2 linked regions of the Oreochromis niloticus genome follow. The main gene of each other region encodes a partner of the protein of the gene in region 2 in a complex. Links are inferred from orthologs where the notes say so. Each region holds a gene or a part of one and is shown on either strand. Other genes may lie near its edges.

Region 1 (7,476 bases), on a different chromosome or scaffold from region 2:
GAAATCATGTTTGAGTTGGTGTGCTCTTTTTTGTGTTAACGCTAGCACAGGACCACTTCATCTCACTATTCTACTGCCTGATGTCCAGGAGTAAATAGGAAAGGACAAAAAGAAATACTAAGCCCCTCTCTCATTTTAGCTAGTTCTAAGTCACCTCCAGACTTTTCCAGTTCTTGTAGTGAAGGTTTTGCCACTGGTGTATATATTTGTTTCCTCTGCCAAATTACAGCAGTCCTAGATGAAGGCTGTCAAGCATGGGAAAGAAATCAGGGCGCCAAGCCCGGCATGCAGAGCAGTGACACTCACGAAGGCACATCCGCCAGTCTGCTATAGAGCTACAAATTTGGGCATTGCATAGGGAGTACTTTAACTCTGTGATTAATGGGTAATGATGGGCTTTCAGCAGACACAGCGGGACACTGCTGCATGGCTTTATTCCCTGGGCTGTAATATTCAGGCAGTCGTTCAACAAACGCTGCTCATCAGAAGCTTAGTTCTTCATTACACAATGTACACTATATTTCTTTTCATGTCTGCCAGGGTTATCACATACAAGAAGATTTAATCTGCTGAAAAAGATAGTCAAAACATAAGACATAAAAGTTGTCTGTGGATGTTACAGCGCAAACTGACTAACTAGAATAAAACTTGGATTTAGCTTCTGGTGTCAGGAGCTGCAAATGAGGACTCCTTGTGCTTGTGTTATTTTCTTGAACAGATGTTTATATCACCTGCTGTGTGCCAGCAGAATAATTTTAGTATTTTCAGTCATGATTATTCATTTTTCATTCAGAAATACAAATACAAATCTAATACAAAACAACAATCCCCAGCCACAAGTTGTTATACCAAAAAAACAAACAAAAAAAAAAAACGCTTTTTAATACATAGCTCTACATGTTTAATTTAGCATGGTTTTACACTAGATGCCCTTCCTGACACATCCCCAAAGGGGACTTGCATCTCCAGCTGGAAACAAACCAGCAACCTTTCGCTTGCCAAGCAAATGTGTTATCCACTAGACCACAAGTTGTCACACCAGAAAGTAGCTAAAAAAGGATAAAGTTAATGCTGTTGAACACCTTTGTTACCACCCATGATGTGGAACGGCCGGACTCTAGCAGTTCATTTTGAGAATACCCACCAATGTTGGAGAGTTGTGAGTTGCCTCCTGAGACCTGGAATTGTTTAAAATGTCTCCAAGCTGATATGCAATAACATTTATTGGAAATGGTTGCAGATTTTACTTAACTAAATTTTATATTGCAGGCTTTACAGCAGGGTACAAACTGCTGGTTACACTAAAAAAAAACAAAAACAACTTTTCCTGCAAATATCTAAAAGGGTCTGCAACGTTTTTGGAACAAAAAAGAGATAAAACATTGGACAGATGAAAATAAGATGAACTTGAACCAGAATGATGGAAAAAGAAAAGTGTGGAAAAGGAAAGGAACAGCTTGAGCTGATGCATATTACATTATCTGTCAAACATGGTGAAGACGATATGATGACATGAACATGTTCAGTAGAAAGTGGCAGTAAATACTACTGGAACTGGGTTGCCAGTGTTTATTGATGATGTGACTTTTGATAGAAGCAGGAGGATGAATTGTTAAGTGTACAGGGGTCTACTCTCTCCTCAGATTCCGCCAAATGCTTCAAAACTGACCGGATAGCACTTCACAGTGCAAAAGGATAATGACCCAGAGCATACTGCAAAAACACCTCGGGAATTTCTCAAAGCAAATAAACAGGACATTTTTTAATAACCAAGTCAATCACATGATCTCAACCCAACAAAGTATACTTTTCAGTTATTAAAAATGAAATGCAGAGAGAAATGAATACAGACAGCAATGGAAGGTGGCTGCAGTAAAGGCCTAGCAGAGCGCTGTATGTCAAGGTAACACAGATGATATCCATGTTCTATGATTTAGACAGTTTGCTCCAAAGATTTTCATCCAAGCATTAAAATACAATGTAAATGTACATTAGTTTGTCCAGTTAACTTGAGCCCCTGAAAATGGGGGTGCTGTGTATAAAAATGGCTGTTATTACATTTGTTATAATCATTATTTGTATGTCACCATCAATTGAAGCTGAAAGTTTGCATTTGAATTGCATCTTGATTCTTTGATTGAAAAATCCCCTGTGGTACACAGATGTAAAATTACAAAATTCTGTCATTGTCCAATAACTAATGGACATTACTTTATATAAGAGAAGAAGCTAATAGTTCTGTAATATATCTCAGAGCATTTAATGTGCTGCAAATGTGTGAAAAAGGGAGAGAGTGAATAGTCTTCACAGATGTTACAGGATCATCTGCCTGTTGCTGCTGTAAACACTCTGAGAACTCTGCACATTCTGAGTAATTCCTGTACTTATTTTGTAAAGAACTACACCATGATTTCATCGTATTTCTAACACTGTCACATTGACTGAAGCACTCTTCTAGCTCCAGGGGGTTTTTTTCTGCCCAAAAACCACTTTTTACCATTTTCCTACAATCTCACTGTCATCCTTTAGGTTCATTTGTCTACCCACCTGCTTGCAAACCTCTTTTTGATGTCCCATAGATTTAAACTTAAACAAGCATATTATTTTCATCTGAAAGCTCTTTTGGTTGGGAAAATGAAATAGTCATTTAGTTATTTACCATTAAAAAAAAACTAATCTAAGCATTCCTAAAAGCAGATCACATAGTATTTGCATTTTAAATAAATTAAAGAAGAAAGTCTGAGGCAAAGACACATACTGAGCAGGAGATTGTGTTTGACATTTTTTTGTTGCATCTCTTTCCCCTCACCCCCAATCAGTCATGGGAGATGGCCGCCCCTCCCTGAACCTGGTTCTGCCAAAGGTTTCTTCCTGTTAAAAGGGACTTTTTCCTTCCCAATGTCACCAAGTGTTTGCTCATACAGGGTGTCTGATTGTTGGGATTTTCCCTGTATTATGATCTTTACCTTACAATATGGAGTGTCTTGAGGTGACTTTTGGTGTGATTTGGCGCTATATAAATCAAACTGAATTGAGTCTAAGATTATCTGGCACTATTTTTAAATTTTTCTTTAATTTGCTACTCAGTTGCAATTAGGAAACAATCGTGATTTGGGTTAAAATCGATCATTTTGCAACATTAAACATAACTTAGTATGCTCATTTGAGTAATTCTGCCCAATTTCATGATACAGGTGCATGTTTACGGTGTATTTCACATAAGAGTTTAATTGCTAAAATAGAACTATATGTTATAACCTATAGCAAGCATAGACTTCTAGATTTAGATAAACAGACTGCCAGTGTAACTATCAAGCTACAGTAGATACAAAGAGTAACAGAGTGCAGGGAGAATCAACTGACCTGACTTTGTCCACAGGTAATAAAATCTGCCTACTAGCACCTCTGAGCTCACTACGTGCTTGACTATTGGCAATCGACAGAGGCATTTCACGTGAAAAAGAAATGTCAATGAATTAACAGAAATCTGTATTAATCTCACACAGACACATTCTTTTCCTAAATTTTCCTCGGCTGCCTGTGGGTGGGAATAGGAACCCCTACATAAATTTGCTGTGCTTCAGTAGATAATTCCACACATGATCCTGATATTTATAAAGAAACAACAGACGGATAAATAAATGAAGTGGACAACACTGTGCATTTTAATTGGCTTTCTTTTCCCTCCACTTAATATTTTGAGAGGCAGGAATTTTGTAGCCTGTAAACACCACCGCCTATCTAAAAACAATTTAAATTCTCTTTCCCTCCCTTTTCTGCTGGCTGCTCTGCAACCTGTAATTTCAAATTACATGTTGTTTTACCCTTCAATTTTTTCGGGTTCTGGATCAGTGGATAGGCAGTGTTGTTTACAGTCTAATTTGAATAGGTGGAGGAGTGACCTGCATCCCAAAGCACCGTCCCCGGTGTGGAAAAGGCAAGCACTGTTGGAGCAGGCGATGCATGCTGCTGCAGTCTCTGAGCAGATACCTCTGTTCTTGCCCTCCCTAGTTTGAGTTGACGCAGGTAACCCAGACAACCTGACAATGTAGACAAAGTGAAGGCAGGCAGGGGAATGGTATGATTAATGGACCTCAATAAGGACAGGCCCCAGAGGAAAGAGCACTGGAGCAGCAGGGATTTTCTGAGTTGGGAGAGTTGTGACGCAAATTCTTGTTATACAAACTTCTCATTTAGAGAAGACTCCCTGAGCTACGGTATGTTCATGTGGCTAATATAATGGGCTCCACTTTGTGAACTGCTGTGTCAAATTGCCCCTTGAGGCTGGAAAAAAATCTTTTCTCTGTTGTGACAAATAACAGCAGCCTTCTACAGACATTCCCCATGTCCTCCACTCACCAAGTTCCCTTTGAAAACCCTTTTCTCACCTCCAAAAAACTGGAAGTTTCTGTTGTCTGAGCGGAGGGGAACTTCGCAGTTCGATTGATGAGAATATCCTCGAATTTCATATCGGCAGCTCAGTTTAATAGGAGTCGCACATGAACGCGGATGTGGGTCACTTTTAATGCCGTCCACAAACTGGCTGGATACGTTTAAAGCCCATTAACTCTCCCTGTGTTGTAATTAGAGAACCCCTGCTCACGGATTGTGGACCATTCCTCCGTTCCTCCACATCCAGGCGAAGTGAGAGCGGCGCAGAGCACCAGACGGACCGGAGCGGGTTAGTGTGGGTACACGGAGGCGCGTTACACTCACGGACTCTGTACATCGCAACTCCAACACAAATGGATATTTACGTGGCTCTGTTATCCCTTTTCTTTTTTACCTCACCAGGTAAGCACAAAGCCCGTGTTCACTCTTGTAGCATCTTATTGTAGCAGAAGCTTTTTTTTTTTTTTTTTTTTTTAAATATTTATATATATATATATATTTTAATTTCTTTTTCTTTACGCTTCCCAGTTTGCACATTGAGCGCAAGGATTCCAGAATTGTGGCAGTGCCTTTAATTTTTCAGTATCGTTTCATTTATTTTTATTTTCAATCACCTACAGTTTGCAGAGTTAGAAGACAGGTGATGGTCGTGGACACATACAGCGCTTTCCCCCCTTTCTTTTAGTGGGCAGCCTTAGCAGCATCTTTCGTGAAAAATAAAAACTGCGTGACTTTTTCCACAACCAGCCATTTTAAGTGGATAAATGCAGAAAGCAGTGACCGCGTCTGTGTTTAAAGTGAATCAACATTGTAGTTAAAACACTGTCAGCTACACTTCTGTCAGCAGATTGTCCTCTAACCTCCAAATTCTCTTCCACAGCTTTGGCTTTCGGTTCAGATCAAGACTACCAGATTGACATCATCAATGAACTTGACCTGGCAAATGCCACCTATGGAATTACCCAAGTGGCGGGTCTTCACAACAGCAGCAAAGCCTTCCTTTTCCGAGGTAATGCATGCACTCTGATCGTGTTTTCTCCATCAGTCGCGCTGCTGAAGTTCAAGAAATATCTTTGTCTTCTCTTTTTATAATTACGCACACTCACTCGCGCACGCTCTTTGTTTATTAGTAAGTGTGAGGAAAGCCACACGGCGCCACACCTTTTGGTGTCACCGGATTAGCGGGGATGCTGAGAGAGAACACTCCGGGGAGCCTCTCTCATAATTACTCCACTCTCATTTTGTCCCATGCAGCAGATGCTCAGACTCTTTCAGGCACGCTGATGCGCTTAGTCTGTGTTAGATATCTCCAGCACTTTGATTGCTCCCAGTGATATCCACTGCCTAATGCCAACAACTGGTGGTTAATGGAAACCAGGCTGCTTTCACTGTGAGGATCCTGAAGGACGCACAGCATGGCTACAGCATTTAAAGACTAAAAGGAGAAAAATGCCAAACTCAAATGGCAGTAGTTTAAAAATAATCAACTAGTTTAAATTAAATTTGAGCTTTGTTGTGGTTTGAGAGGGCTTACCAGTGTCCCCAAATTGTTTTCCTATGCTTTGCTGGCTTGCTTCTCTGCACTCCAAAAAAAAGACTGTTTGGCACAACTCATCTTCCTGTAGTGCCGTCAGCTTTGCAGAGGCGGAATTGTTAGAGTTGTGGAGGAGAGAGTGTGATGCACAGCACTGATAGGAGAGAGGAAGAGAGTCAAGATTACTAAGAAAGTTACAGGAGAGTTTTTTTTAGGCGATGAGTTGCTCTATATGTGTTTGTGTGCTTTGATTCCTTCTTCTGCAAGAAAAGTTATCAGCTATTGAGTGAAAATCAGTCTTTGTTCATGTTTTACTTCCCCGATATTCAAAGAGGCTTCAAGTCGTGTGTGTGTGTGTGTGTGTGTGTGTGTGTGTGTGTGTGTGTGTGTGTGTGCGTGCGTGCGCACGCGCGTTTGTTGGAGGTAAACTAGTGAGTCTTTTTTTCTTGCATTACTATTCAAATTTAAAGATATGGGCATAAACACCAGCAGCTTGAATTCAAATTCAGTAGCTCTGGGTGTTGATACTCATATAAAGCAGAGTGGCAGTGTTTTGTGTGTATCTGTGTGTGTGTGTGTGTGTGTGTGTGTGTGCGCAAGTAGTTTTATTTTCTAGAGGGTTTGGCTGGATGAGCAACTGGCCCTGTATGAATGAGTGAAGAGAAGCTTGGCCAAGTCTTTCGAGTTGAAGCTATCCAAGATTCAGGGCTGGTGGCCATATGGGAGCCTTACTTTTTACACGGCCCACACAGGCCTACACTGCAATCCTACTCCAAGCTCTTCTCCCCACAGTTTCTAGGCTTCCAGGGTCGAGGTGCAAAAGCCAGATAGGAAAACAGGGGGTCGATCCAATGGGGAAAACTGGACCTGTGACTGCTGGAGAGGATGCTTGTGTTGAAACCTATTTAACACTTTGCCTAAACTCCCACTACTTTCATGGCCCTGTAACCCAGATGGCTGCAGCCAAAGATGTAGCAATTACTGGGTCTCTGGTGAAATAAAAGAAAAAAAAAGTTGATTCTTGAGCCACTGTAGCTGATTGGGTCAGTGATTATTCGAAATGACCTATTTACATTTTGAGCAATCATATTGTGCTCTGGTCGGAATCTATTTCATTTGTTAGATTGCATAAGTTGTAGACTATCGTGAAATTGAAATGTTGGGTAAATGGCTGGAAAACTGGGGCAAAGCGGCGTTCCAGTTAATGGATAATACTGAGGGGAGTGTCTTTGGCTGGTACCAGTCTCAGCATCTTTCAGTTGGCAGTTGATTTAAAAACAAAAAAAAAAACAGATGGTTTTCATGAGAAAATAGGTTTCAATATCACTTCTCTGTTATTATAATATTAACGTATCAGCACACACTGAAAGCCAGTTTCTGAGAGACAAGCAGGTGCAGCCACTGCTAAAAGGTTCTTAGTTGAATTTGAGACTTGATGCTGTGATGAAAAGAAACACAGATGCTAATAATGCTCTCCACTGTGCGCTGAGAGCAGGGAACAAAACTCAACTAATTTCTAAGATCTCTGCATATTTTTTTTTTTTTAAATT
Region 2 (7,928 bases):
AGGTTCAGAAGTCTCCTATGGATTATGAATGCATCTCCATAGTCTGGTGCTGGAGCCAGAGTGCAGCAGCAGAGAAGCTATTGTTTTAATCCATCGATTCAGGGAAAAATTATTTAAAGTTCATTATTTATGACAAAAATAAATGTCACTTTTTCGTTCTTTATTAAATGACTAAAAACATCCAAACAACATCTTTTGAATAAATTAATCTGAAACCAAATTGAACAACAACATAAGGACGCAAAGTTGTAAATATAATAAGAAACAAGCTTCCAACAATCAATTGCAAATGAATGAAGCCCAATTAGTGACTGTCAGTTAAAGGAGCTAAAAGAAACAGTCAACAGAAGAGGTGTGATAAAGAAAGAAACAGAGACAGAGTGAGAGGCAGAAAGTGAATGAACTGATAAATGTACCAGCAGTCCACTATAGTGCTGTGTTTGACTGAAATGTCCATTATTTCCCAAATTGGTTATTGGGCTGCATTGATTTTCCCATTGAGCCTCCCTCTGAGCTCCAGGTTGACCCACACGAGCTGTCCGCCCACTGACTTGCTATTGAGCTTCTCGCCTGGATACCCACAGTTTGACCACCCATCCCCTCCCCAGTGATGAATCAGCACATGGTGGCCAGGAAAACATGTCTCTATTATGGTTTTTAAATATGTATGTGTCTTTGCGGGGTTGCAGTGCAAATCTGGACGATGATTACTTTTGTAGGATGTAATTTAGATATCAGAGGTTATCGTTTTCTTTCCTTTCATATAGTCAATCCACATCTCTGTGACATGTTCACAAAAGGAAAAAGCTTTTATACCGTCCATCATTGATCACTGATTAGTCAAAATATTACATCTAACCCCACACGTCCTCAAGTGGCTGCCTGAATATATCTATATCACTTAAAGACTAAAGGGGGGGATTCAATTTCTGTGAGCTACAGAGGAAGATTCCCAAGAATATGAGGCTGAGATGCACAGCAGGCATGTCTGTCTATCAGCCTATCAGACTGTGTTTCTCTGCTCCAGCCTCAATAGATTTATTGCTGCCTCTCCTGCTTACTTTCTCTATAGATTTTAGGAGTGAACCCCACAAACACTCAATCTACACTCCATTAGAGTTTACAGATGGCAAGAGAGAGAGAAATAGAAGTGTGATTGCAATGAAAAAGAAGCTATAAACTTGGCATTATTGAGGCTGTTTGAAGCTGACTATGGGGACAGGAGGGAGGAGGGAATGTGGGGCTCAGAAGCAAATACACCTTTCACACCCATGTCCACTCATCAAAGGGAAGCGTCACTCCCCTCTGTGACAGTATACACCCACGCAAGGCATCACAAAGAGTGTGTACCTTTCTGTAGCTTTCCCTCTTTACCGTTAGTCAGTAGAGTCGAGCTGAGAAGCAGCTGGATGTTTTACCAACTCAGGACTGAGCGATAAAAGAAAGATCACATTTCTTTTTAGGTAAATAACATATGGTGAATGTGATAGATGGGTCTGACAATGATGTTTGTGTGTGTGTGTGTGTGTGTGTGTGTGTGCGTGTGTCTGAATGCAGCTTTCATTGGTATGCGATGACATGGAGACAAAGCTATGGTGCTCATTAAATCAGACATCATGCCAATCTCTGGACATAACTCTACCCTTGTACACACTCTCTCTCTCTCTCTCTCCATATATATGTATGTATATGTATATATCTATATATATATCTATATATGTATATATATAGATATATATATATACAGTATGTAACGTAACGTTTGTTAACAACAAAACTCCTTCCAGAACGGTAAAAAGCGGACATTAATAAATTTCACCCAGAGCAAAAAGAACAAAACAAAGCCAACACAGCTGTTAACACTGAGCTTCATCACTGGGTAAAGAGGAGCTTGGTGGCGAAAGTTAAAGAGATCTGACAGTTTGGGTACATCGTGGCTGACAGCAGACAGCTTCATTTAGCAGAGTGAGCAGGCTGCCACTCACAGTTCTGCAAAATAGGCGGTGTTATTGGGTAATACTGTCTCTGTCACATTTCACTCACAGCCCACAAAAACACCCTGACAAGTATGTGATCCCAGTTTGCTGACCCCCAACTCCCCTTTATTATTTCCCTGTAAGAAGAAATCATGAGGCAAGTGAGGATGCAGGATTGGTTCAGTGGTAACTGAAGGATGGACATATTCATGTGATTAGAAAGTTTATATCATAAAGTTTACGCTTAAATATTAACACCTTCTACTACAGTCTAGTAACAACACTTTATGTTTGCTGATCGTCATATACTCCTGGACACAAGTGTCCAGGAGTATATGAATGATATGAATCCTGACATCACATCCGTTTATCTCCAGTGACCTCACATGAGGTCACATTTTCCTTTTCAGTTTCAGATCCGCTTTGCAAAAGAGATCCAGGTGTCTTGTTCAAGAATGCCATGTGTGTTTTGAAGAGGTTGAAGAGGGGAAGATGCACTTACCGTTGAAACCGGTGAAGTTTCCCCACTCGAACAGCGAGCTGTTGAAGGGCGGCAGGGAGCCGTTGAAGGATTGCAGGGAGCCGTTGAAGTAGACGTCAGTTCCATTGGAAGGGTTTCGGATGGTGTCTGTGAACAGATTCATCTGCAACAAGGTCTTGATCAGGTAGCGCAGCATTGTGGTGCACAGAGGGACCTGCACTCCCCCTCTCTGCTCTCTGTACTTCTCACTGTCTCTCTCACTCTGTTAATTTTAAAAGTGTGACTCTGCCTCCCGCTGAATCTGCTTTTCCTCCTTACTCGGTGTTAAGAAGAGCTAAAGAGATACTCTTTCATCTCAAGTTGATTCAGACATTTCCAAACATTTTGAAGAAAAAAAGCTGAGAAATCTTGATTAAAAAATAAAAGTGAGTGAAAAGAAGTCAGATGATAAGAAGATTAATTGCTTGTAGATGTCAGACTGAGTCAGGGGGCCCCTCGCTGTGAATCCCTCCCAGCATCGGATTGTTCCTTCCTCCTTGTTTCTTTTGTTCTGGGATCAAATAACTTCACATGCTGTCTGCCGCCATACAAAACAACAGCTTCTCGCTGGTGTAAAAGAATCCAGCAATGTGATGATGACCCTTTCGAATTGCTCTCCTCTCTCCAACCCCTCCCTCTGGCTCCTCCTGTGTCCCTCCCTCCCTCTCCAGCTCTCCTCCTCTCTCGCGCTCTCTCTCTACGGTGGGGTCCTGAGGGTTTCTGAGGAGCGAGAGAGAGCAGGTGCTGTTGGCAATAAATGTTTAATTATTAGATTAATAATCATCCCAGGAGGCTGTGAATCAGGGTGGTGGAGAAAAGGAGGTGAAAAGACGCACCGTCACTGTCTTAACCATACATCCAAAAAAGGTCATCACATATGCATAAATGAACACATACAGTATGTGTTGGACAAACAAACCTGGGACTAACTAAACTCCTGCTGGCAGTGTTTGTTTCCTGCTGGTCCACATTTTCAAAGCACATTGCATGCAGACTTTTTCCTTTGTCCACATCAACAAATACCAGAGTGGATCTGTCTCTAAAATGACTTTCTCAGCAGTAAAGTGTAAGTTGGCTACAGCATCCTATCCTATAGCATCAGTGTTTGTTTTAAACTAAGCAGTAGAAAATTTTAATTCATTTAATTTTTAAAAAGTGAAAAGAAACAAACGTTACTTACTCAGCAATTAACTCTGCAATTTTCAAACATGCATAGCAAACATAATAATAACACTTTATAGCAGCCATCTTTAATAAATGCTGAATTGCTAATTAAACTTTATTTAACACTTTTTACTGTGAAGAAACAATGATATTGTAATAATGTTTACCAGTTAATTTAGTTTCATTTTAAATTGTATAAATCACAAGATTGCAAACTTTAACTATCAGTTTACAATATACAGTAAAATAACAGATCAAAGCAATGCTTACATTAACTATTGATTAGGTAAAGATCCAGATATTTTTTTGAGTTTTTTTGTTGAAAAAAGCAGCATCTGCTTCATAATAGCATGACTTAGCCCCTCTATAATGCAGTTTCTTTTAGCTGTGTTGGCCAACCACTATATATCCTGTTTCTATCCTGTGTCTATATGGATGAACGAAATGTAATCACATGCCTTCATGCTCAAGCATGCTATAGCTCTTAAAGCATAGTCTGCATATCATCATGGATACACACATGCGATCATAGCAGCACGGTCACATGTGGCTCCTGGACACCCCACTGACAGCCTCAGTGTGACTCCCATTAATGATGCCCATACACCATCCGGGGCCTGTCCTCCTGCTCCATCACTGTGACAAAGGGAGGCAACAAACCAACAAAGATGCCGTGACGACCCCCGTCCCGCGCCCTCTTCTTCGTGTCTTTTCCAGTCACTCTTTATTTTAAGCTGTTTTCTATTCATGAGACATGTGTGCCAGCTAAATCCACACATACAGTGTTAATGGGCATTCAATATGGGCATGCTATGGAAGAAGGCTGAGTTGCAATGGAGAATCGATAGCCACTGACAGGCTACATTGTGTATGAGAATCATGTTATCTTGTCGGGTTGTTCCAGCATTTTACATGGATGTGCTTCAAAGAGTTTCAATGATGAGTATGGACCACATTGAAAGTCTATATATAATTAGATATGTCTAAAGTCCTGGCATATTACATGAAGAAATAAGTCTTCTCTATTTCAGATTAGTGGCATTGACCATGTTAACTCTTATTGCCACTTTTTATTTCTAACATAAACTAATGAGGCAGCAGCAAAGTGCCACTACAAATATACGTCAATGATTGCATGCTCCCTGGGTGCTCTCCTTAGCCACTCGTAATTCTCAGTAATGACTCTCCTCGGCCATGGAAGCTGCCATTTTCATGATCATATCATTTCTGCAGTGTAAAGATGGTGCTTTTAAAACATTCTGTTGTGTGAATAAATAAAAGTAGCATCATATTCTTTTTCAGTTCATCTGATATTTATTTTCTTGAATCTACTGATTGTTCATGGTAAAAATACCTAAAATTGTGACACATTCCTATATTTTATGTCTGGTGTTGTGTGATGTCAAAGAATGCACTACATCTGGAGTTTAAGATCATACACTTACATATCATTCACTTATTATATACATGGAATAAAATAGCTTTTTGTATGTTTAGGAGTTCAGTGGCTTGGGCCCTGACCCCTGGCACCGCTAACTGTACTCTTTCATAGAGCGAGTCTACTACAGTGATCACTCAAAGCTGTGTCTACTAACAGAATCCCCAGCAAACAGGACGGTGAAAACCCTTAAAGATGTTGCTGTGAAAGATTACTGTTAACCTCTCCACCACGATTCTGCTGATAGTGCAAAAGTTAAAAGTGATCAGGAAAAATGGTGTTCCAGGCTTTCTTAAGATATTTCAAACTGTAATTTTCTGCTCCATGTCAACCAACGCTACATCTGATTGGTTGGCCAGCAGCTGCTTGTCTGTCTGGACCTCAGCTCTGTCGTTCTCAACCACCTTCAGCAGTGTGTCCCATCGGGAGTTGGTTACTTCTAATCCAAATGTGGCACAGATGTTCCTGCTACTTTACGCTGGACTGTCTAAGCTGTTAAGCCTGCAACGTGGGAGAGTCAGCTGTGTTGAACTATAAACACTGACATTCACGCTTGAGAGAACTGTAGAAACTCAGTTTTTGTCTTTTATACTGTATTTACATTTATACATATTTCATAATGACCAAATTATGAGTGCAATGAGAAAATGAGGACTTTTACATAGTACTGTATGAGAGAGATACCTAATGAAACTTGTCAGAGTGTATTCAATGTTTTTCATAAACAATAAAACGTTCAAATCTAACAGTATTGCCTCATGGTACAAGTAAGTACTTTTTACTGCTTGGAATGTTCTTTTTGCTCTTCAAAAAGTTACAAAGTTACAAATAGATTGCATTTATGCATAACTGCACTCACCGATCCAGATCTGATTTGCAACAATTTGCCCTCTGCCTCATCCGGCTGACACACAATTTCACTCAGTGCGGCAGACAGGCAGGTACATAACCCTATCTTTACTAGCAGCAGAACGCACAAGCAGTAGCACAACAGACTCGATAAAGGATTTTAAAGGATGACTATGGAATTTCACGAGATCAGAAAAGCCCCTGTTTTAGCAACAGCAAGTCATGTTGACCTCTCCTGCAACAACAGCTGCAACAGCAAAGATGTTATTTCTTGAAAAAGCTAAGCTTTCAATTTGCATGTATTTTTTTTAATTTTAAGTAAGACAGGAACATTTTTCTGAGTTATTATTATTTTTATCAGTGATTTAGATCATTTAATTACAGATCATAAAGTTAAAATGCTCATTAGAATAATGTAATAAACTAGTGGTACAAAAAATAACACAAAAGCTAACATAATAACACATCTGAAAAACATAATTATTGCAGAAGAACATTATGAAAAGTTAAAAATGAATTTTGGATAACGTATTTTAATTAGGCTAAAAAAACTAAACACTCTGAAACAGGAAAAGTCATGGAATATGAGATGATGGGGTTTTAATTTAACAGTTACAGGATAACTGTGTTAAACAGTTACCATAACTGTAGCTGTTTTTTTTTTTTCCACCATTGTATCAAAAATGGTATCAAGAATTTGAAAATCCAGTAGTATATTGTACCTGTAGGTACTTGTGTAAGAAATGCAAATTTGCTCATTCATACCTGCAAATTTCTGCCTTTTTATTTAAACAAAAACAGCCAAACAAACAAAAAACTGAGGTTAAACTAGTCATTAACATGACTGGAGCTTAAATAGCCATAGTGCTGTGAGAGTAAAAGCATTTGCGACAATTGTAGTAACATTTAGTAAAATAACACCTGTTTTTAGACAGGTTTCATTTCAGTTTAATCCATTTCATTTAATAGCTGGACATTTTCTAACCAAGTGTGACTGTGGTGCTGAATAGCAGGTATCTGCATGGTGACCTTTTGCTTTGTTATGAGGATCCCGGTTTGAGGCATGAAACCAAATTTCATGCAAATCCATCAAAAGGGGGATGAGTGGTGACACACTGAGTGTTTGGCCTTTCATACAAATGTTAATGCAGAGATGGATACAGATGGGTCATTAATGTCAGCGCCCTGTTGGACGGAACGCTCTGTCTCGCTATGACACACTTTACAAGCCTTTTAGCATCCACACGCAGCCTTACAAAGAGAAAAACATGAAGTTATCCGTGCGAATCCTTTGATCAATACAATGCAGTCTTTTTAGACCCACGGTTAGATTGTGGTGGACAGAGAGTCACGGGACGGTGGTTTCATCATGATTACTATTCAGAATTTAACAATGGGAATTTTGGCCAGAGACTACATGCAAAATATGGACAAGTGTGTGGATTTGAAAAGTGAAGCTAGTGTGGAAGTGTCTTACACCTGCATTGTATTTCAAATGACCAAACTGCTCCAGTCTTATTTAATATAATATGGCCCCATTTAGATTGAAAAAAGAGGATTACCTTTTGACTGTCATCTCAGGTCACTGCTGCAAACCCTTAATAATGACTGCTGAACTGGAAGTAATAAATAAAACTGAATGTAATGGTTTTCTCTTGAATTATCATGTAAGTGTGAAGTCCCACAGTTTCTCAGTCAGATCCACCCTCCTGGTGATGGTGATACCCAATCTTCTCAACTCAAAGGTTTAAAACTGACCACAACAGGGACTTTGATATATAGTGTGATACTGATTAAATTAAAGTTCTGATCACCAAACTGATTAGGACACATGACCTTCTGACCATGTCTATGCAGAACTGGATGACCAGCCATACAATCAATGCAAAGATACTTTACTAGACATGTGGAAACATTTATTTCATGTCACTAGCAGATATAAATTTGGCAAATCAACGAAGTTATTACAGTTAGTCCTATG

What was found.
Region 1: the proteins of robo3 (region 2) and protein kinase C-binding protein NELL1 are in contact, whole or in part, in a crystal structure (PDB 6POL), measured with the Homo sapiens proteins. The link is inferred for Oreochromis niloticus from reciprocal best matches to the Homo sapiens genes ROBO3 and NELL1. Residues at the interface, in NP_071765.2 of Homo sapiens: Ser553, Pro555, Val590, Glu592, Phe594, Pro596, Asn600, Thr601, Trp602, Thr604, Ile624, Leu626, Arg630, Gly633, Ala634, Trp635, Gly636, Leu637, Ser638, Glu639, Pro646, Val647, Arg648; in NP_006148.2 of Homo sapiens: Ala440, Lys441, Met442, His443, Tyr444, His446, Tyr458, Arg468, Val469, Asp470, Asp471, Phe472, Ser473, Asp478, Ile492, Cys493, Thr494, Asn495, Thr503, Cys504, Lys505, Pro506.

The regions. Positions count from the first base shown.
Region 1 is NC_031965.2:5,939,918-5,947,393, forward strand, and holds the start of protein kinase C-binding protein NELL1, read left to right. Parts: upstream 1-4,473; 5' UTR 4,474-4,745; coding exon 4,746-4,794; intron 4,795-5,272; coding exon 5,273-5,401; intron 5,402-7,476. UniProt on the Homo sapiens protein: Plays a role in the control of cell growth and differentiation. Promotes osteoblast cell differentiation and terminal mineralization.
Region 2 is NC_031975.2:4,413,908-4,421,835, reverse strand, and holds the start of robo3 (roundabout homolog 3), read right to left. Parts: upstream 3,019-7,928; 5' UTR 2,654-3,018; coding exon 2,479-2,653; intron 1-2,478. UniProt on the Homo sapiens protein: Receptor involved in axon guidance during development. Acts as a multifunctional regulator of pathfinding that simultaneously mediates NELL2 repulsion, inhibits SLIT repulsion, and facilitates Netrin-1/NTN1 attraction.